Struthio camelus: one gene and its partner. The protein of the gene in region 2 interacts with the protein of the main gene of each other region in a pairwise test. Links are inferred from orthologs where the notes say so. Each region holds a gene or a part of one and is shown on either strand. Other genes may lie near its edges.

The links.
Region 1: the proteins of NUMBL (region 2) and SPSB3 interact in binary tests that used the Homo sapiens proteins (3 or more experiments, as listed by UniProt). The two-hybrid records come from large-scale screens. The link is inferred for Struthio camelus from reciprocal best matches to the Homo sapiens genes NUMBL and SPSB3.

What each region holds. Positions count from the first base shown.
Region 1 is NC_090956.1:17,458,717-17,468,743, forward strand, and holds the start of SPSB3 (SPRY domain-containing SOCS box protein 3), read right to left. Parts: upstream 4,107-10,027; 5' UTR 4,096-4,106; coding exon 3,894-4,095; intron 3,395-3,893; coding exon 3,246-3,394; intron 829-3,245; coding exon 651-828; intron 1-650. Other genes in the region: cytosolic Fe-S cluster assembly factor NUBP2, read left to right, coding at 5,273-5,291, 6,635-6,753, 7,482-7,680, 8,297-8,451, 9,025-9,135, 9,466-9,535.
Region 2 is NC_090957.1:579,741-589,254, reverse strand, and holds the start of NUMBL (numb-like protein), read left to right. Parts: upstream 1-5,659; 5' UTR 5,660-5,785; intron 5,786-8,058; 5' UTR 8,059-8,074; coding exon 8,075-8,200; intron 8,201-8,551; coding exon 8,552-8,626; intron 8,627-8,767; coding exon 8,768-8,878; intron 8,879-8,960; coding exon 8,961-9,101; intron 9,102-9,514. Other genes in the region: COQ8B (atypical kinase COQ8B, mitochondrial), read left to right, coding at 73-87, 170-289, 860-1,133, 1,217-1,294, 1,442-1,564, 1,668-2,191, 2,307-2,388, 2,519-2,612 and 5 more. UniProt on the Homo sapiens protein: Plays a role in the process of neurogenesis. Required throughout embryonic neurogenesis to maintain neural progenitor cells, also called radial glial cells (RGCs), by allowing their daughter cells to choose progenitor over neuronal cell fate.

The sequences.
Region 1 (10,027 bases), on a different chromosome or scaffold from region 2:
GCTCTCAGGGCCTGGCAAACCAAACCCAGCCTGGAAGAGCAAGCTGCACAGTCACTCAGCTGGGCTCTAGTCACAGCAACAGCAGTGCAGAGCCACATGGAGCCCCGGGTTTCTTTGGGGGGAATCACACTCATTTCTTGTAGCCTCAAGGGGCTAAAGGCAGAGCACAAGCACCATGATAGCTCCTCTATCCTACAGGCTTTCTTGGTCAGGCCAGGCCCACCCTCTGCCTAGCTTTCCTCAGTTGCTCTGGGTAGACCCTGCCACGTATCTGGGGGCCTGCCAGCTGTACCAGGGATCAGCATTAACAGGGCTGTAACCACAAGGGCCAGTTTCCATTTGTGGCCTGAGCTAGATGTGAAAGCAGGTCTCCAGAGGTGAACTCTGATTCACCGACAGGTTCAGCCCTGAGCTCTTGAATCACCACAGAACGCACGGGCTTGTAACCTTCCTAAGTTCTGCACAGCCTTGAGATGTAAACAGAGGAGCACCGTATGCAGCGATAGCAATAAGGATCCCCGTGCACACCTAAGCATCTGTACGGGGGAGGTGGTCTGTGCCACCATTCAACCAACAGGAGGGGAGCCAGGACCGCACCCACCACGAACCCCAAAGGAACACGAAGGCCAGTTGAGGAGCCCCTTGCTTACACTCGTCCTCCTCGCCGCACTGGCAGTCCTTGACGCGGTGGATGGCATGCAAGCTGGAGCAGTAGGGAGCCTCATTCTGGTTCTCGCAGTTGCAGTAGGATTCTCCGGTCACGGGGATGGCGCTTGGGATGGAGGGCGAGAGGGAAGAAAACTCTGGCTCCGAATCCGAGTCGCTGTGCTGCCGGGAGAACAGAGGAACAGTCATTACTAAACACCCCCACAATCAGACAGCTAGACTCACAGCCAGCAGATAGGCCTGCTCTCCCTACAGCCAGGCTGCTCATGGGACACCCGCACAGCACAGAGCCACGTGGAGAGATCCCCAAGCTCGCTCCAGAGCCAGCAGCAGCATGGCTGTGTTGTGCCCAGGCCTGGCCTGTCCTGCACGGAGGCAAGGGGCTGCGCCAGTGAAAACACCCTGCTTCTAGGACCTGGCTAGTATCTGGCTGTGCTGCAGAGCTTTCCCCCCAAAACTGGGCAGGATCTCGTGGAACCAGGCACCGTACGATGTGGATATGCTCTTTGTGCCTTTGTAGCTTCCAGGGCCCTGCCATGTACAGAAGCCCCCATGACTGCGGGGGTTAAGGAGGTAGGAAGGGGCACAGCAGGCAAGCAACATGACAAGCTCTGAACAGTGCATGGCATACTTATTTAAGGAAACTCTGTGCTAGAGCTGAGGTTTTCAACATGCAGGTTACAGACTCCTGGGAGGACTGGAGGCCATATCCAAGGCATCACAAATAAAGCGCACACATATACAATGCTGTATGCAGAAACTATACAGCTCCAAAGGAGTCTGGGCCTCTACTGCCAAGCTAGAAGAGAGCCACACTGCTGAAAAACCTCTGCTCTAGAGAGACTAAGAACTGAAGGAGAAGACAGATAAACAAGACGAGAAGGAAAAGGGGAAAAAAGGAGGCCAGGCAGGGGAGCTGGCAGAACAAAGCAGAACCAGTTAAGCAGTAAGGCTGCGGCTCCTCATACCAGTACTGCAGACAGGCCCACAGGGAACCCACTGAAGGAGTAAAAGGCTTTTGTTTACTTTCATGCACGAACACAAAAACTTGATTTGCTATTCCCCAATGCCAGGAGACTGAAGTGTGCCTGCACTGGACGCTATAAGAGCTGTGTGCTGGCCCATGTGTTATGGGAGATTTGGTGTCACCTGCACTGGACGCTATAAGAGCTGTGTGCTGGCCCATGTGTTATGGGAGATTTGGTGTCACCTGCACTGGACGCTATAAGAGCTGTGTGCTGGCCCATGCGTTATGGGAGATTTGGTGTCACCTGCACTGGACGCTATAAGAGCTGTGTGCTGGCCCATGCGTTATGGGAGGTTTGGTGTCACCTAATGGAGTCTCTTACTCTAGACCTCAGCAAGTTACTCTGGGTTTGCACGCTGGTCAGATATACCTGCTTGTTATTCACCCTCACCCCAATGCCCATGGCAGATTTTGTAATCCCTGTTTAAAGGCAAAACCCTTTTAAACTCATGTTTCTTTAGCTGTGCAAGACAGTGGGACTTGAAATGACCCAGGCTTACTTATCTACTGCCAACCCCCCTTCTCCTTTTCTAAATCTGCCCTGCAGATTAGGGAGCTTTACTTCTGCCTTTCATTGCCCCTCCAGAACTACTGCTCTCTAGAGATCTGGCTGTTCCTATTACTGCAGGAAAAGCTACTCTGACAGCAGAGAAAAGGCTCCTTTTCTTGGAGTGCTGCGTAGAGATTCGGACATAGTGCTCTGGCAGTGACCTTATAACACTTGAGCCTATCTTTTAAGCATCCGGAGCAGCTCCTTGGGTTTCCACCAGTGCACACTGCTTGGGGATAGAACTCAACATACTCAAGGACTGGGGAAAAGGGGTGAAGGAGGCGGAGGTGAGTCTAATTCACTCCTTGCACTGTTTTACTGACTGCTTTCCCCACTGTATTCCTGTCCTCCAGCGTATCAGCATGCCAGGGCCAGATTCAGAAGTGATGTACACATTATGGGTTTGGAAGCATAAGGGAGTTTAAATTAGAAAGTATTCAAGCATGAATTGAATATGAAGCAGCCCCTGCTCCCTCCAGCAACAGCTGCATGAGGACAAGAAGTTAGCATGGCCATACAGCAGGCCAGACTGGAGAACTGATCTAGTTTAAACATGTATTTAGATCACTATTTAAAAAGTACATGTCAAAAATATTCTATATACACTACATACACACACTTTATATAGTTAAGAGAGAAAGTTTAGCTTAGTACCAATCAGTTCCGTTGGCCCAAATAACCACAAGGCACAGAGCTCTACTGCACAACGGCAGGAGCAGGCTATAAGCTGCTTAGCTAGCTCTTGTTGTGGAAAGATACGCTTGGGAGTCCTACACCCCGCGTTAGCGGAACTCGGAGCCAGACAAACAACTGCCTCCATCTGGTTAGAATGCCTGTAAACTTAGTAAGGGTCTTTTCCGATTTTGGGCCAGTTTTTTGGTGCGGAAATACTAGCTGCTCAATACACAGACCTTGAGCAACCAATGCCTGACGTCAGGGGGAGAAGGAAGGTTTCCCCTTGCGTCACTTTCAAGCTCTCCGTACGCTGGCCTGCCTACCTACCTGCCCATCGGAGTCATAGCCCCGGCCCCGTGAACCAGTGGCCAAGGCGACTGCCCGAGTGTCTGCGTCGCGGCGCACCCCGCTCAGGACGAAATGCCAGGCCCTGCTGTTACGCGTGCGTCGCGCCATGGTATTCCGAGAGAGGTAAGCTGTGGATGCCAAGGGAGAAGGGGTTACACACAGCAGCAGCGTTCCTCTTCCACCCGCCACTCACCCAGCTCTACCTCTGCAGCAACCTCCCCCAAGTCACCAGACCCCACACGGGAACAGATCAGCATGAACCGTGTCTTTACAGTCGCCATCAATGGACACAGTAGTAAAGTAAGTTCCTCTGGCACCACAGGCTTCTGCAGACTTCAACTTCTTCTGCCACACAGCGCACACTGCCTGACAAATACTGGGGTCAACTTCTCCCTGAGCCCAGCCACTTTGCTGGATCCCCCAAACCGTTCCTAGGATCTGGCAGCAGCTGCCATCCAGGATCTACCTGGCCTGAAGAGAGTCAGGATCACCAGTCATCAAGACACGGCCTCCCCTGTGCCCGCTAACCCTTGAGCAGTTGCTTGGGCTCTGACCGAACCGCTCAGCCCTCTGCACCACCCTGGCCATCGCTGCAGCCACCACGTGGGCCAAACTGCCTGCGCCCACCTGCTGCAAATGCTGTTTGTTCATCGCCAAGCAACTGCCTGTTCGGGCTGTGAGCAGGAGACACTTCAGCAAAGACTTTGCTCTCAGCATTTGGGAGTGGGGGAAGAGATTTCATTCCTGCTTGCTGAAGGGAAAATGCCCTTTCCGGGGGCCTGTCCCGACTTGCCTCAGGGACAGCAGACAGAAGCAAAGACACTCTCATGTCCTGAACTGAGCAGCAACGCTACGCAGAGACAGACTTACATGGCCCTGCAGCCAGCTCGACAGACCAAACACGCTCTCAGGCATCATGCCTCAGCTTTGCAGCAGATGGAAACGTGACAGCACAACTTTGATGTGCAAACTCATTTCTCCTGGAGTTTACTTTAGCCAAAACAGCTCCCCGCCGTGAGCTGTAAGCCGCCGCCTGCCTCCCAAACCCGCTCCCTCAGCTCAGCCCCGCCGGCTGGCCAGGCCGCACGCACGGGCCCACCGGGGCGGGCAGCAGCCCCCCCGCTCCCCGCCGCGCTCAGCTGCTTTGCGCACCCCCGCTCGCTCCACCGCTTCACCTTTCCCTGGGACAGGGCCTCGCACCCCGCCCGCGAGCCCCGGCCCCGGCCCGGCGCAGCGCCCGCGGCAGGCAGACATGCCGCTCCCTTCTCCCAGCACCGCGCCGAGCCCGGGGCTCCCGCCAGCGGCCGCGGGGCCGCAGCCGGTACGGCAGGGCCGGTACGGCAGGGCCGGTACGGCAGGGCCGCCTCGCCCGGCCCCGCACCGGGCCGGGCCAGGCCAGGCCCCGGGGGGCCCAGCGGCGGACGCCAGGGAGGAGCGAGGAACGAGGCCCGGCCCGGCCCGGCCCGGCCCGGCCCCTGCGCTCGCCGCCGCCCGCCCCGGGCCCCGGCCTCACCTGCCCGGCCCGGCCCGGCCCGGCCGCCGCGCTCTGACCTACTTTCCCCTCCCGGGACATAAACAATCCACACTTGGCCCCGTCCCCCCGCGCCCATTGGCTGAAGCCGCGCCGGATCCCGGCGGGAGGCGTTCGCGGTTGGCGGAGCGCCCCGCCGCTCACGGCTGCGGCGAGGGGGAGGGCGCGGCGGGGAAGGCGCCCGCCCTCAGCGCCACGCCACTGGCTGCCCTGCCTGCCAGTCGTAAAGACGGCGCGCCATTGGGCGGCGACCGCTGGCGGCTATCGCGCGCTGCGGGGCAAAGCGCTAAGCTCATTGGCTGGCCGCGACGCCCATCGAGACTGGAGGCTGGGGGAACGGGGGTGAGAGAGCAGCTTGGCGTAGCTACGGCGGCCGGAGAGGAGCGTGTGTGGCTCGCGATTGGGAGAGGTGCCTGCCACTCTGCGGGGGGCGGGGCTTCCGCCGCCGGAAGGCGGAAGCGAGGCGGGCAGCAGCATGGAGGAGGCGGTGGGGGGTGAGTGTGGGGCCGCGGCCGCGCCGCCGGGTGCTCCTGCCCTCCCCGCGGGGTGGGGGCTGCCGGGGACTGGCGCCGGCAGGGGCTGGGGGGGCTCCGGCCTCGTCCCGGCCTTTCCGGGGGAGGCAGCCCCGGGGCGGGCGGCGGGCGCGGGGCCGTCGGCCCGGCTCCCGGTGGGGGGAGCCCTAGGCGGGACGGGGACGGGCCTGGGCGGCGGGGCCTGGGCGGCGGGGCCCGGATCCCGGCGGCCGGAGCGCCGCAGCGGTGGGGCCTGGCAGGGGTTCGGGTCTCCCGGTGCCCGGCTCCCGCCAGGGGGCCCGGTGTGGCGGGGCCCGGCGGCGGCGGAGGCAGCGCCGGGGTGACCGGAGCTCCCGGGGCCGCCTTGCGACGCGGCTCCGCGTAACGCCCCGCCCGTCCCGCCCGCCGTTACCGTCGGTGGAGGTGCGGATGAGGTCCGCCATGGTGCGGGCGGTCTCCATGCGGGCGGCGCGGCGCGGTGCCGGGCGGCGGGTACCTGCCGGACGCCTGCCGGGGCTCTGAGTCAGGCGGGCGGCGGTGACGGGCCGCCCGGGAACGCGGGGCGGGTTGGGCGGCGCCTGCCCGCGCCGGCCCCCGACGCTGCCCCGCGCTCCCGGGGCTCCGAGCCGGGGACTCCCGCCGGCAGCGCCCCCCTCCGCCCCCCCGGCCTGTCTCCCCGTTAGCGCTTCCCGCGGGAGCCGGCGCCGGCGGGTTTTTCTCCTCTTTATTTCTCCCTCTTCAACTGTACTCCGCGTCAGAAGCTCGCGGCGGCAGAGCCCTAAGCGGGAGCCGCTCAGACCAAAACGCACGCTGACAGCGCGGCAAGGAGGCTCGAGGTGACCCGGGCCTCCCAGGAGGGCGAGCAGCATGGTGCAAAGAGAGGAAATGCCGAGGGGGTGATTTCACAGAAAGCCTCATGGCAATTCCTGCGAGGAGCTCAGATTAAAATCTGCTCCAGGCAAAGCGTGACAAAGTCCTTCTCTGGATGTGTATTACTTTGCTGCTTGAGTACTGCATAGGTCACCGGGTCAAAATTTTTACTCTCCACAGGCTCTTTATTGGTCTTGCTGTTGCTCTGATCTTCCCTTTCCTCATAGCAGAAGGTCTATGTCAAATCCACCATTTTTCTGCCCTGTTTTCTTATGCTTAAAACAAGCTTATTGATGTTGCATCATCTCATCTCAGCTGGTGACAGCTGCTGTTATTGTTTGCAGCACGTTACTGGCGCAGTGGAGGCTGGCTCTGAGCTGGCTGGTCAGGGCATTGCTGCCTGCACAACTTGAGGTCAAGAAGAGAGTCTGATGTCCTGTTACTGTTCTTCCTAGAGAGAAGTAACCTGGCAGGGGTGCGGCACATCCTCCTGGTGCTCTCGGGGAAGGGCGGCGTGGGGAAGAGCACCATCGCCACCGAGCTGGCTTTGTCTCTGCGCCACTCTGGGAAAAAGGTGAGTGAGGGTCTGTGGGATGGGGAGCTCTATGTGCTCTCCCTTCTGACCTCCATCTGGGCTTGGTTTTACTCAGCCTTTCTGCGTGTGTCTGTTCTGTGAGCACAGCGTGAAGATCCTTCATGGTGGAGGCTGCTGCCGTAAACAGAAGAGCTGTCTATAACAGAAACTTGAGTCCTTTTTTTTTTCCTGTGCTTACTTGATCCTGCACAGTCCAGCCTCTAGCAAATTGCACGGTTCACTTCCCCTTTACCCAGGAGACTAAAATGTTATTTTTGTCATGTGTAAAATGAAGGCACCAAGAAATGACTTGCTTTTTTTGTATGATACACAGCCACTTTGTGGAGTGAAGTGAGTGAGCTGAAAGACAGCATTACCGTGGGGGCAAAGGGGAGCTGCGTGGGCATGAGACAGACTGAGGATTTTTTTAAAGGCTCTGTGGAGCAGATGCCACTTAAATTCTGATAGGTCTCCTGAATAAAGATTTTCTTAAAGAGCCTCTAAATACCAAAGAGAGATTCCATGGAAGGATGGAGATCTGGGAGACCCTAGTCAAATGATACCAGTCAGAACTGGCACTTTGGCTTCTGAACTTGAGAGTCCTCTCTGTGAAGTGCTGAGAGCTGCTGGAATTCATGTGTTCCTTTCCCTTGCCCAAGGAAGGAGCGCAGCTGGGTGCTACAGTGGTGCTCAGGCCTATCTGAAAGGCTCTGCCTGGTCGCCTGCAGGTGGGGATCCTGGATGTGGACCTGTGTGGCCCCAGCATACCCCGCATGTTCAAGGTCCAGGACAATGACGTGCACCAATGCGACAGCGGCTGGGTGCCAGTCTTCGTGGACCAAGACAAAAGCATCTCACTGATGTCCATCGGCTTCCTGCTGGAGAAGCCAGATGATGCTGTGGTGTGGAGAGGACCCAAGAAAAATGGTACAGACCGTTTTTGCTCTTGGTAACAACCTTCCAGCGCTACGTGCCTTCTGCAAAACTTCCTGGAGCTGATGTTTGTTCTGTCCAGGGCCCAGGCTCTCCCAGACATGCTGTTCCTTGGCAGCCTGTGTTCAAACGTAGGCTGCAGTCTGAAAGCCTCTCTCCTGGGACAGAGGCCGGTGGCTTAGAGGCAGCTGATGTAAATGGCAGGGGGAGAGGCTGTGCTCTATCGCTGCTGGTCTCAGCTGAGACCTCATTAGCAATGAAAATATCTCCAATGTGGTAAGTCCATGTTACATTGTCTGGGTGGGTTAGGGCTGTCCCCTTGGCACACATCAGTGACCTGCTGCCTTAGTGAGGTCTCTGTATGTAGCCAGGTACTGTGGAGTCCAATTAGCCTTGGAGAGAGGGCTCCAAGTGACTTGGGGCAAGACAAGGCTCTTGCACTCCAGGGCTGTCTTCCCCTGTGTGGGTGCAGGTGGTTCAGGCTGTGCTGCATGTGCTCTGCTGACAGGTAGCCCTGCTCTCCTCTGTCCCCCCCAGGATGCCTCCTGACCACACGGCTCCCAGGACACTTGCTAAAACCTGAGATTTTTCACCCCTTTTATTTCTGCAGCTTTGATAAAACAATTTGTTGCTGATGTGGCCTGGGGGGAACTGGACTTTCTCATTGTGGACACTCCTCCGGGCACATCTGATGAGCACATCTCCACAGTGGAGGCCTTGCGGCCGTACAAGCCTCTTGGAGCAATCCTAGTCACGACACCTCAGGTAGGGCAGCGTGCTGGGTGACCTGCCCTGTCTCTGGGCTCGGTTGGTGGGGGAATATGCGCTCGAGGGTGGGTGTTTTCGCAGGCCTATCTGCGGCTACTTACTTTACATTTCTACCCCCGATGCAGCCACTGCTTGTCCCTCAGGACATCTCTGACATCTGTCAGTCACTTATGAGTCAAGGCTGCTCTCAAATCCAAGTTTGTCCGATATCTGCCTTTGTTTACACACAAGCCTGTACTCAGCCAGGGGCTGCCCAAGTGTGAGGCCAGCTGGAAAGGTGGAAGCTGAGCGCATCTGTCACTTCAGCGCAGGTCTTGCTGCAGCCACTGCCCAACCCCTTCAAACCGTGCAACACTGTCGCCCATCTTCCAGTGTGTTGCCTGTGGTCAGCTCTTCTGGAGTGCAGTGAGGACTCTTAGCCCAAGCTATGGCCAGCAATGGGGAGAGAGCCTCTCCCAAGCCCCCTTCTCTATGCGTGCTACAAACTGTCTGTGTGCGTGTATGCCTGCTCCAGAACTAGAATCTGGCCAGAGACAGACACCCCTAACCCTCGCCTGCTCTCCCCTGCAGGCAGTGTCTGTGGGGGATGTGAGGCGAGAGCTGACGTTCTGTAAAAAGACCGGTTTGCGAGTTCTTGGGATCGTGGAGAACATGAGTGGCTTTGTCTGCCCGCACTGTTCGGTGAGTTTCTCGATACTGCTGGGCTGTTATGGGTTCTTATTCATGATATGGCTGTTATATGATCTGGCACCTCAGGCTGCAAGTCAGTGAATGCTGTGAGGGGCGATGCGGTGTCCTGGGAGATGAGAATCTCCTGGCTGGAGGTTTGGAAGAAGCTGCCAGCTGTGCTTTCCTAAAGAGAGCTGTGGGAGGGCAGGGGCGAACACAGTGCCCTGAGGTTAGAAGGTGGAGGAAGTTAGCTTCGCTCACACCCAACCAGCGCCTGTCCTGTTGCACAGGGCTCTGCCCACTGGTGTTTATGACTAACTGCTATTTCTTTTCCTCCTTTAGGAGTGCACAAACATCTTTTCCAAAGGGGGAGGTGAAGAATTGGCCAAGCATGCTGGGGTCCCTTTCCTTGGTGAGTGGCCTCTTGAGCAGAGCCCTCCTTGGTTAGAGGTGATGTCCATACAGTGCCATGGTAGTGGAGGAGTGCTTGAGTGAAGAGATGCGGTACCACCAGGGGAGGGAGGCTGGGCTCTGGGTCCCTGTGAGCCCTTGGGGCCTAGGCAGAGGCAAGATGCGGCTATTGCTTCTCTTCTCTGCCATCCAAAATGCTCACGCTGGGCATCTGGCCCATCTGGAGCAGAGGCAGCGATGCCTGGCAGCTTGCTCTGGCTACGGATGTCGCGGTGGCAGAGTAATCAAGCCCGTAGTCCCACAGCTGTCCTGAAACATGATGGAACCTCCCTAAGAAATGAGGTTTGGGGTTCGAACCCTGTGCTCTGGACAGGGGTGGGATTGGGGTGGGAGAGGGTCTCTTATGAAGCACTGTGGTGTGGCTTTACCCTAGCTCCAGAGAGAAGGGTTGCAGGTGAAATGTAGCTACTGAAGGATTCAGTAAGGATGGCTT
Region 2 (9,514 bases):
CCCGCCGGCAGGCAGGTCAGGCTCTGATTGGCCGGCGGCGGGGGCGGGGCCGCTGACCCCGGAAGCGGCGCGATGGCGCGGAGCGGGGTGAGCGGGCGCGGCGGCCGTTGTTGCCCTCTGACCCCCCCCCCGCGGGCGGGCGGGCCGTGACCTCTGACCCCTCCCGCAGGTGGCTGCCGTGTGGCCGCTGCTGCGGGGGGCCGCGGGGGGGGCGGCGCCGCTGCGACCCCCCCCGGGGAGGCCCCGGACCCCCCCCGCCGCCCCCTGCAGCCCCCCCGGCGGCGAGAGGGTGAGTCTGACCCCTGACCTCTGACCCCTGCCCCTGACCCCTCCCCGGACAGAGACCCTTTGGCCCCAAGCGCTGACACCGCCCCCCCCCCCCGGCCGCACTGAGCTCATGTGACCCCCATGGTTCGCCCCCCCCCCCGCCATGATGAAGCCCTTTGACCTCTGACCCCTTTAAGCAGAGTCCTTTGACCCCCTGGTCCCCTCTGACCTCTGACCCCCCGTGCCGTGATCCTTTGACCTTGGTCCTTGATGCCCCCCCCCGTTAGAGACCCCCGACCCCCCCGAAGCAGAGACCTCTGACCGCTTGGTTCCCCCTAGACAGGGACCCTGTGACCTCTGACCTGTTCCCCCCCCCCGAGAGGGACCCTGTGACCTCTGGCCCCCCCCAGACAGAGACCTCTGACCCCTTGGTTCCCCCTGTTTAAAGACCCTGTGACCTCTGACCCCCTGCTCCCCCCCATACGGGGACCCTTCGACCCCCCGTTCCCGTGCCCAGCCCTGCCCCACGCCCTGGGGGTCGCCGTGGGGCGGAAGCGGGGGGGGGATCCTCACCTCTGCCCTCCCCACCCAGCTCGCGGCGCCCCCCGGGCGCTCCCTGCACCGGCACGCGGCCCTCCAGGCGCTGGCGCCCGACGACGTCCGACGGGCCCGGGAAGCCCGGCAGCAGGCGGGAGCCGAGGAGCGGGGGCGACCGCCGCCGCCGAGGGCAGGGAGCGGGCGGGCAGGGCCGTGCCCCCCCGGCGCGCCCCCCTGCCAGCCCCGCGCCTCCCCCGGGCAGCTCAGCCACAGGGCCCGGGAGCGGAGGGTGCCCGCCTCGCGCCTGGGCCGCCTGGCCAGCTTCGGAGGTACGGGAGGAGCGGGGCGGGCGGGAGGAGCCTCTGGTTCTGGGGGGGCGAGCGCGTCGCTCCCGCGCCCTGTCCCTCCCCAGGGCTGGCCGTGGGGCTGGGGCTGGGCGCCTTGGCCGAGGCGGCGCGGACGACGCTCAGCGGGCAGCGCCAGCCCAGCCGTGAGTACCGGGACGCGCCTGCGGCTCGGCGCCCGGCGCAGGTCGGGGTGGGGGCGGGGGGGGGGGCCCCCGTGGTGGTGGTCCTGCGTGGCGGCCCCCCCGGCCCTGCCCGTCCCGCGGGGGCTCACGCGGGCTGCCCTCGCCCAGCCGCTGGCTCCCTGCTGGACTCCAGCCCCTTCCTGTCGGAGGCCAACGCCGAGCGCATCGTGGACACGCTCTGCCGGGTGCGAGGCGCCGCGCTGAAGCTGGGGCAGATGCTGAGCATCCAAGGTAGGGTGCCCCCCACCGCCCCCCCCCCGGGGGGGCCCGCGCCGGGCAGCCCTGGGGTGGCTGCGGCTGGGCCCCGGCTCCGGCACGCGCCCTCTCCCCGCAGACAGCAGCTTCCTCAGCCCCCAGCTGCAGAGGATCTTCGAGCGCGTGCGGCAGAGCGCCGACTTCATGCCGAGCTGGCAGACGAGCGTGAGTAGCTCCGTGCCCCACGCCGAGCACGCGCCGGCCCCCCCGCGACCTTCCCTCCCTCCCCGCCACCGGCGGGACGACCCAGCCGTCCCGGCGCTCCCAACCTTCCCCGCCTCGCGGTGGCGGCTGGAGGATTTTTTGCCTCGGGGCTGCTCGGCCCGGGAGCCCCGGGTTCGCGTCGGGTGCCGCCCGGCGGTCGCGTTCCCCTGGCCTGGGGCAGGGAGGCGGCAGCCCGAGCGTCCCAGCGCGCAGGCGTGCGCGTCCCAGCGCGCGTGCCGCCCGCTCCCTGTGCCGCAGCAAGTGCTGGCGGAGGAGCTGGGACCCGCCTGGCGGGAGAAGATGTCGGCCTTCGAGGAGACGCCCTTCGCGGCCGCCTCCATCGGGCAGGTGCACCTCGGCGTGCTGCGGGACGGCACGGAGGTGGCCGTGAAAATCCAGGTGAGGCGCGGCAGCGCTGGAGCGTCGGAGACGGGGAGCGAAGGGCTGGGGGGAGCCGGGGCTCGTCCCCGGCGCCGCGACCCCCGGGTCCACCCTTTCCCGTGCCTCCCCGCAGTACCCCGGCATCGCCCAGAGCATCCGCAGCGACGTGGACAACCTGCTCTCGCTGCTCAAGATGAGCGTCGCGCTGCCGGAAGGTGAGCTCCGAGCCCCGGGAAGAAGGGACATCCCCGGGCCTGACCCCACCAGCGCCTGCCCTCGGGGAGGGGCCCCTGCCCGCTCTGGGGGGGCCGCTGCCTGCCCCCTAAATCCTCGCGCCTCCCCGAGGCCTCTTCGCTGACAACACCCTGCAGGTCCTGCAGAAGGAGCTGGAGTGGGAATGCGACTATCACCGGGAAGCCGGCTGCGCCCGGACGTTCAGGTACCGCCGCGGCGGGGGCCGTCAGGGGCTGGCGTGGGGGGCGGCTCGGTCGCAGCCCCTCCCCGCACCGCCGCCTCCGCCGCCCCCCCAGGCAGCTGCTGCGGGACGACCCCTTCTTCGCGGTGCCGCGCGTCATCGACGAGCTGACCACGGCCCGGGTGCTGTCCATGGAGCTGGTGAGCGGCGTCCCCCTGGATCGGTGCCTGGAGCTCAGCCAGGACGTCCGAGACGAGGCGAGTGGTCCCCGAGCAGCCGGGTCGCGGCCGGGCCCGGGAAGGACCCGGCGCCTCTGGGTTCTTGGAGCGCGGTGCCGAAAGCTGCTCTCGCCTCGTGCCGAGGCGGCGGCCGAGCCCCCGCCGCGTCCCTCCCGCGGGTTTGGGACCTGCCTGGAGCAAGCCCTGCTCTTCTCTCGTCCAAAATAATCCCTCGCCCCCCAGATCTGCTCCAACATCCTGCGCCTCTGCCTCCGGGAGCTCTTCGAGTTTCGCTTCATGCAGACGGATCCCAACTGGGCCAACTTCTTCTACGACGCCGGGAAGCACCGAGTGAGGCGGCCGCCCTGTCCCGGGGCGAGGGTCGGCCGGGGCCCCGCGGGCGCCCGCTTCCCCCGGCGCGTCCCGGCCGAGCAGGCGCAGCTCCGCTTTCCTGCCTTGCGAATTTCGTGCTGCGCCGGCGGGTCGCGGCTCGCGTGGCCGGGACTGAGGGTCTCCGCTCCCTCTGGTTCCTCCTCTCCCCGCTGCGGCCCGGGGCAGAGCGTCCCCCGGCCCCGGGGATGAGTTCCGGAGGGGCTCCGCTTGCTGGGAAGCGCTGCGCCGCGGAGTGGGTTGGGACGCGGCGGCAGCTCTCGGAGGGGAGCGGAGCGGAGCGCGGGGCCGGCCTGTCCGTCCTCAGCGTCCGTCTCCCCGTCCCTGCTGCCTTCCAGGTGGCTCTGCTGGACTTCGGGGCCAGCCGCTCCTTCGGCAAGGAGTTCACCGACCACTACATCGAGGTACGGGCCGCGCTCGCGTGGCCGGACGCCGGGGCCCTCCCGCCCCGGCTCGCCTCACGCCCTCCCTCCGGCAGGTGGTGAGGGCCGCGGCCGACGGGGACCGGGACAAGGTGCTCCAGAAATCCAAAGACCTGAAGTTCCTGACGGGGTTTGAGACCAAGGTGAGGCTCTCGGGGTGGAGGACGGGGGGTCCGGGACCCCCTCCCCGCCACCGGCGCTAACCGTGCCCGCCCCGGCAGGCCTTCGAGGCGGCCCACGTGGACGCTGTGATGATCCTGGGCGAGGCCTTCTCCTCGGCGGGGCCCTTCGACTTCGGGGCGCAGAGCACCACGCGCCGCATCCAGGCCCTGGTGCCGGTGATGCTGCGGCACCGCCTCACGCCGCCCCCGGAGGAGACCTACTCCCTGCACCGCAAAATGGCCGGATCCTTCCTGGTGTGCGCCCGGCTCCGGGCCCGCGTGCCCTGCCGCGACATGTTTGAGGAGCTCTACGCGCGGTACTGGGCACCGCGGCCGTAGACCCGCGCGGGGACTCGGCACAGGGCAGCCGCCCCGGGGCAGGACCGGGGTCTCCCTGGACCCCCGTGGACCCTTGGGGCAGGACTGGGGTCTCCCTGGACCCCCGTGGACCCTTGGGGCAGGACTGGGGTCTCCTTGGACCCCCGTGGACCCTTGGGGCAGGACCAGGGTCTCCCTGGATCCCCTGTGGACCCTTGGGGCAGGACTGGGGTCTCCTTGGACCCCCATGGACCCTTGGGGCAGGACCGGGGTCTCCCTGGATCCCCTGCGGACCCTTGGAGCAGGACCAGGGTCTTTGGATCAGGACCAGGGTCTCCTTGGATCCCCCATGGACCCTTGGAGCAGGACTGGGGTCTCCCTGGACCCCCCCGTGCGCCACTGGCCTCCAGACTGGCCCCGTGACGCTGCTGCTGGCCCCGCTCCCGGCCCCAGTCCTGGTCCCGGCCCCGCGTGCAGCCTCCCTCCTCCCGCCGCGGGCAATAAAGACGGTGACTTTCCCCCGAGCTGGGGCAGGCTGTGCCCAGCCGGGGTGACCTTGTAGCCTGGTTTTTGGGGTGGTTTTATGGGATCTTGTGGGGTTGGGAGGGTCTGTTTTGGGGCGGGTGTCTGTGTTCCAGGGGATCTGTGTTTGAGGCAGGTTGGTGGTACGGGATCGGTTTTGGGGCAGGAAGTCTGTGTTTTGGGGCAGGTTGGTAGTATGGGATCAGTTTTGGGGCAGGAGGTCCATGTTTTGGGGCGGGTTGGTGGTACGGGATCAGTTTTGGGGCAGGAAGTCTGTGTTTTGGGGCAGGTTGGTAGTATGGGATCAGTTTTGGGGCAGGAGGTCCGTGTTTTGGGGCGGATTGGTGGTACGGGATTGGTTTTGGGGCAGGAAGTCTGTGTTTTGGGGCAGGTTGGTAGTATGGGATCAGTTTTGGGGCAGGAGGTCCGTGTTTTGGGGCGGATTGGTGGTACAGGATTGGTTTTGGGGCAGGAAGTCTGTGTTTTGGGGCAGGTTGGTGGTATGGAATAGGTTTTGGGGCAGGAGGTCCATATTTGGGGTTGGAGGTCTGTGTTTTGGGGCGGGCGGGCAGGCTGGTTGTGGGGGCTCAGTTTTGGGGCGGGAGGTCCGTGATTTGGGGCAGGCTGGTGGGGCGGGGGGATTTGGCGTTGGGGGGGGACAACCCAGCTGCGTGTATGAGGGAACCAGATGGAGGAGGCGGGGCCTCCATCTAAATGAGTGGGCGTGATCAGGTACGATCTAATTTGCATATTCATGAGCCCTCGCGCCAATGGAGGCGGGGCTGTGGTGGTCTCGCCTGCGCCCCTCCCAATGGGGGGGCGGTGACGGGGGCGTCTCATTTGCATATTCACGCGTTGGGGCGAATGGGGCGGTGGAGTGGGCGTGGCCTCGGGGCGGGCGGGGCCAAGGAGGATATTTGCATACCGCTGCGGTGCGCCCGCCCCCGCGCCACGGCGGGCTGGGGGAGCCGCCGCGGGGGGGGGGGGGGGGGAACACCTCGTTTGCATATGCATGAGGGGGGCGTGGCCGCGGGCGGGAAGCGGAAGGCGCGTGCGTGCAACATTGTAGCCACAGCCCGGCCCGGGGTGGGGGGGGGGGGGGCGCCGGGACCGGGGGCGGCGGCGGGTCCTGCCGGAGCGGAGCGGAGCCTCGGCGCTGCGGCGGGGTAAGGCCGGGGGCACCGGCCCCCCCCACCCCGCTTCCCCCGGTTCCGGGCTCCGGGGGCGGCTGGGCCCCCACCCTGGGGACACCGGGGCGGCTGCATCTCCCCCGGGGGGGTCGCAGCGGCAGCCGTGTGTGTGTGTCCCCCCAACCCCGTCCGGGCGCGGAGGGGGCCCCGGGGCAGCTGCTCCCCCCCGCCAGCTGCGGCTGCTGTTGCTGCCCCCGGCCATGGCTGCCCCCCCCCCCCGCGGCGGCTCCCCCGGTGCTTAGTCAGGGGTGGGGGCTGCTGCCGGGCCGGGCCCTGCTGCCCCTCGGCCCCCCCCCCCCACGGTGCGCTGCTCTCGGCAGCCCCCTGCAGCGTGGCCCCCCGGGAGGGGGGGGACACGCGTGGGGTCCTGCGTCCGCAGCCCGCAGGCCCGGCCCCACGGAGGGGGGGAGGCATCCTGCGACCTGGCAGGGGGCTGTGGGGCCGGGGCGCGGGGGGGAGGCGTCCCGCGCGCGTGGTCCTGGGTGGGGGGGACGCGTGGGGCGTCCTGGGGGGGGCCAGGGCAGCAGGACGTGGCACCCCATGAGTGTGGCACTGGGTGGGGCTGACATGCGTGTCCCTGGCAGGAGGCCGTGGGGTGTCCCTGCTGGGCCTGGGGGGGCCTGGGGGGGCCAGGAGCAGCAGGATGCGGTGCCCCATGAGCGTGGCCCTGGGAGGGGGGGGCACGTGGCCGTGGGGGCCCGGGGCAGCCGGGGCCACCTGCGGCGCGGCCGGGCCGCGAGGCCCTGGCGGGTGGGGCTGGGGGGTCTGCGGGGCGGGGGGCAGCGGGCTGCACGCCCCCACCCCTCGCTGCCTGGGCCCTGCCTGCGCCCCGGGGAGGGCAGGCGGGACCCCCTGCCCGCGAGCTCTCGGCGGCGGGTGCTGCGGGCTGGGCCGGGTTTGCCCCCTTCGCCTCGCTGGGCGCCGGGTGCGGGGCCCCCCGTCCGGGGGATTTGGGGGCGTTCGGCCCCAGGGCAGGCAGATAACGGGAGCGGCCCTGCAGCGCCCCGGGGCGCCCGGCGTGACGCCGCTGCCGGGCTCCCCTCCCTGCCCAGCTGCGGCGGGGTGAGGGCGCCCGGACGCCTGGGCCCCGACAGCGGCAGGACTCCCGGGTTCCCCGGCTCCGGGAGGCGAAGAGGAGCCGTCCCGAGCGCCGCGGCCGGGGCGGCACCGGCATCCCGCCGGCACCGAGGCCTTGGGTGCGCGAGGGGCCTTGGGGTGGGGCGACCCCAGTGCCGCTGCGGGGTCCCCGGCAGCCCGGCCCCCCGGGGCGCGCGGGGTGGTGGCCGCGGCCGCCCTGGGTGGTGCCCCCCGTGCTCGCAGCGTGCGGGTGGCCGAGCCGGCCAGGCCGAGGCAGGAAGTCAGGAAACGATCGGGAAATATTACTGTCCATTAACGAGCCACGATTCCCCCGAAGCGCCCCCGCCCCGGCGGCGGCGGCCAGGACGCCTGGGTCCTCTTCCAGCCTTTGCTACGGAGCAGCCGCGGCGCCTGCCTCGGTTTCCCCGCGCAGGGCGCCCGCCCCCCGTCGCTGCGTGTCCCGGAGCCGGACGAGGGGCCGGCGGAGCTGCCCCCGGGAGGGCTGGGGGGCCGTGGGACGCCCAGCACGGGGCCGCCCCCCGCCCGGCCTGGCGCTCCGCGTGGGGCCGGGGCAGCAGCTGAGGAAACAACCGCCGAGGCCGGTGTTTGCCGGCGCGGAGCCCGGGGGGGGGTTTGGCAGCGGGAGCCGGGGGGAGTGCGGCTGCGCCCGGGGGCCAGGCGCTCCCCCGGCCCCGTTCCCAGCGCTGCGCGGCGCAGGCACAGTTTGCCTTCCCTGGCTGCGGTGTCCCATGTGCCCCCCGCGACGTCCCCTGGGCCGCGGCGTCCCCGCTGAGCTGTGCCAGCATGGGGGGGGGCCCTTCCTTGGGCTAAATATACCCGGGGGGGGGGAGCCTGCGATGGCCCAGTTCAGTCTGGAGCTGCCGAGATCAAAGCGGGAGGAGATGGGGCCCCCCCGGTCCCCAGTGCAGCTTTGATCACTGGGAGAGGCTGCTGCGCCCACCCATGGGTGCTCAGCCTGCCTGGGTGGGGAGAGCTAGGGGATGCCCCCCCGTTGCCCCCACCCTGGTCCCTGCTTGGGGTGGGGGCTGGGGGGGGTGTCAGACCCTCTTACCCTTCCCACCCCATAGAGGAAGGGGGAAACCCAGGCGTCCTGGCCCTGCTGTGGGGCAGGGGGGGCTTGTTCACCCCCCCAACCCCTGTCCCCCCCCCAGGCCTGCGGGGTCAGCGATGAACAAGCTGCGCCAGAGCCTGCGTCGGAAGAAGCCGGCGTACGTGCCGGAGGCCAGCCGGCCCCACCAATGGCAGGCGGACGAGGAGGCCGTGCGGCGCGGCAAGTGCAGCTTCCCCGTGCGGGTGAGCGTGCGGGGCGGCCGTGCGCGCCCGGGGCGGCCTCTGCCCGCGCCAGCGTTCGCGGGCGCCCCCCCGGCGTGGGTCCTTGTGCACGGGGTGTGCGTTGGCCAGCCAGCGTGGGTCCTCGTGCACGGGGCGTGCACCGGCCAGCTGGCGTGGGTCCTCGTGCACGGGGTGAGGTGCTCGTGCATGGCGTGTGCACCGGCTGCCTGACGCAGGTCCTTATGCACGGGGCGTGCACCGGCTGCCCAACGTGGGTCCTCGTGCACTGGCCAAGCACCAGCCGGGGCAGGGGGCCGCCGGGGCGCTCGGGGCAGGGGCACGGCCCGTGCTGACGGACGCCCTGCTCTGCAGTACCTGGGGCACGCGGAGGTGGACGAGTCGCGGGGCATGCACGTGTGCGAGGAGGCCGTGAAGAAGCTCAAGGCGGTGAGTGCCCTGCGAGGGCCGGGCGCGCGGCGGGGCCCCACCGCTGCCGGATTTCTGGTGGACTTAGCGCCAGGCCGCCCGGGAAGGGGCTCGACGCCTGTCCCTCTCCCACGGGTTGCTCTCCCATCCCGCCGGGGCCAGGTCCCTCGGCGCCCTGCTGATGCCGGCTCGTTGCAGAGCGGCCGCAAAGCCGTGAAGTCGGTGCTGTGGGTGTCGGCGGACGGGCTCCGCGTGGTGGACGACAAGACCAAGGTGAGCGGGTGCCCTGGGTGTCCCCAGCCAGGGCGGCGCGGCGGGAGCCGGCCCCGGCTCACGCGTCCCCCTCCTCGCCCAGGACCTCCTCGTCGACCAGACCATCGAGAAGGTCTCGTTCTGTGCCCCCGACCGCAACTTTGACAAGGCCTTCTCCTACATCTGCCGGGATGGCACCACGCGCCGCTGGATCTGCCACTGCTTCCTGGCCCTCAAGGACTCCGTGAGTGCTGGGCGCTGGGGCCGGGTGGGCAGGATGCGCCGGCTCGTGATGCCCTGGGTCGGGCATGCGGGATGCCCCAGCACCCATGGGACGCACCGGGAATGGGTACGCCGGATTGCCCGGGGCCGGGTGCGCAGGATGCCCCAGCTCCCATGGGACACACCAGGAATTGTGCGTGGGATGCACTGGGGCCGGGTGCGTGGGATGCCCCAGCTCCTATGGGACGCACCGGGAATGGGTGCACGGGATGCCCCGAGGCGGGTGTACGGGATGCCCCAGCTCCCATGGGACGCACCAGGAATGGGTGCACGGGATGCCCCAGCTCCCATGGGACGCACCGGGAATGGGTGCACGGGATGCCCCGAGGCCGGGTGTACGGGATGCCCCAGCTCCCATGGGACGCACCAGGAATG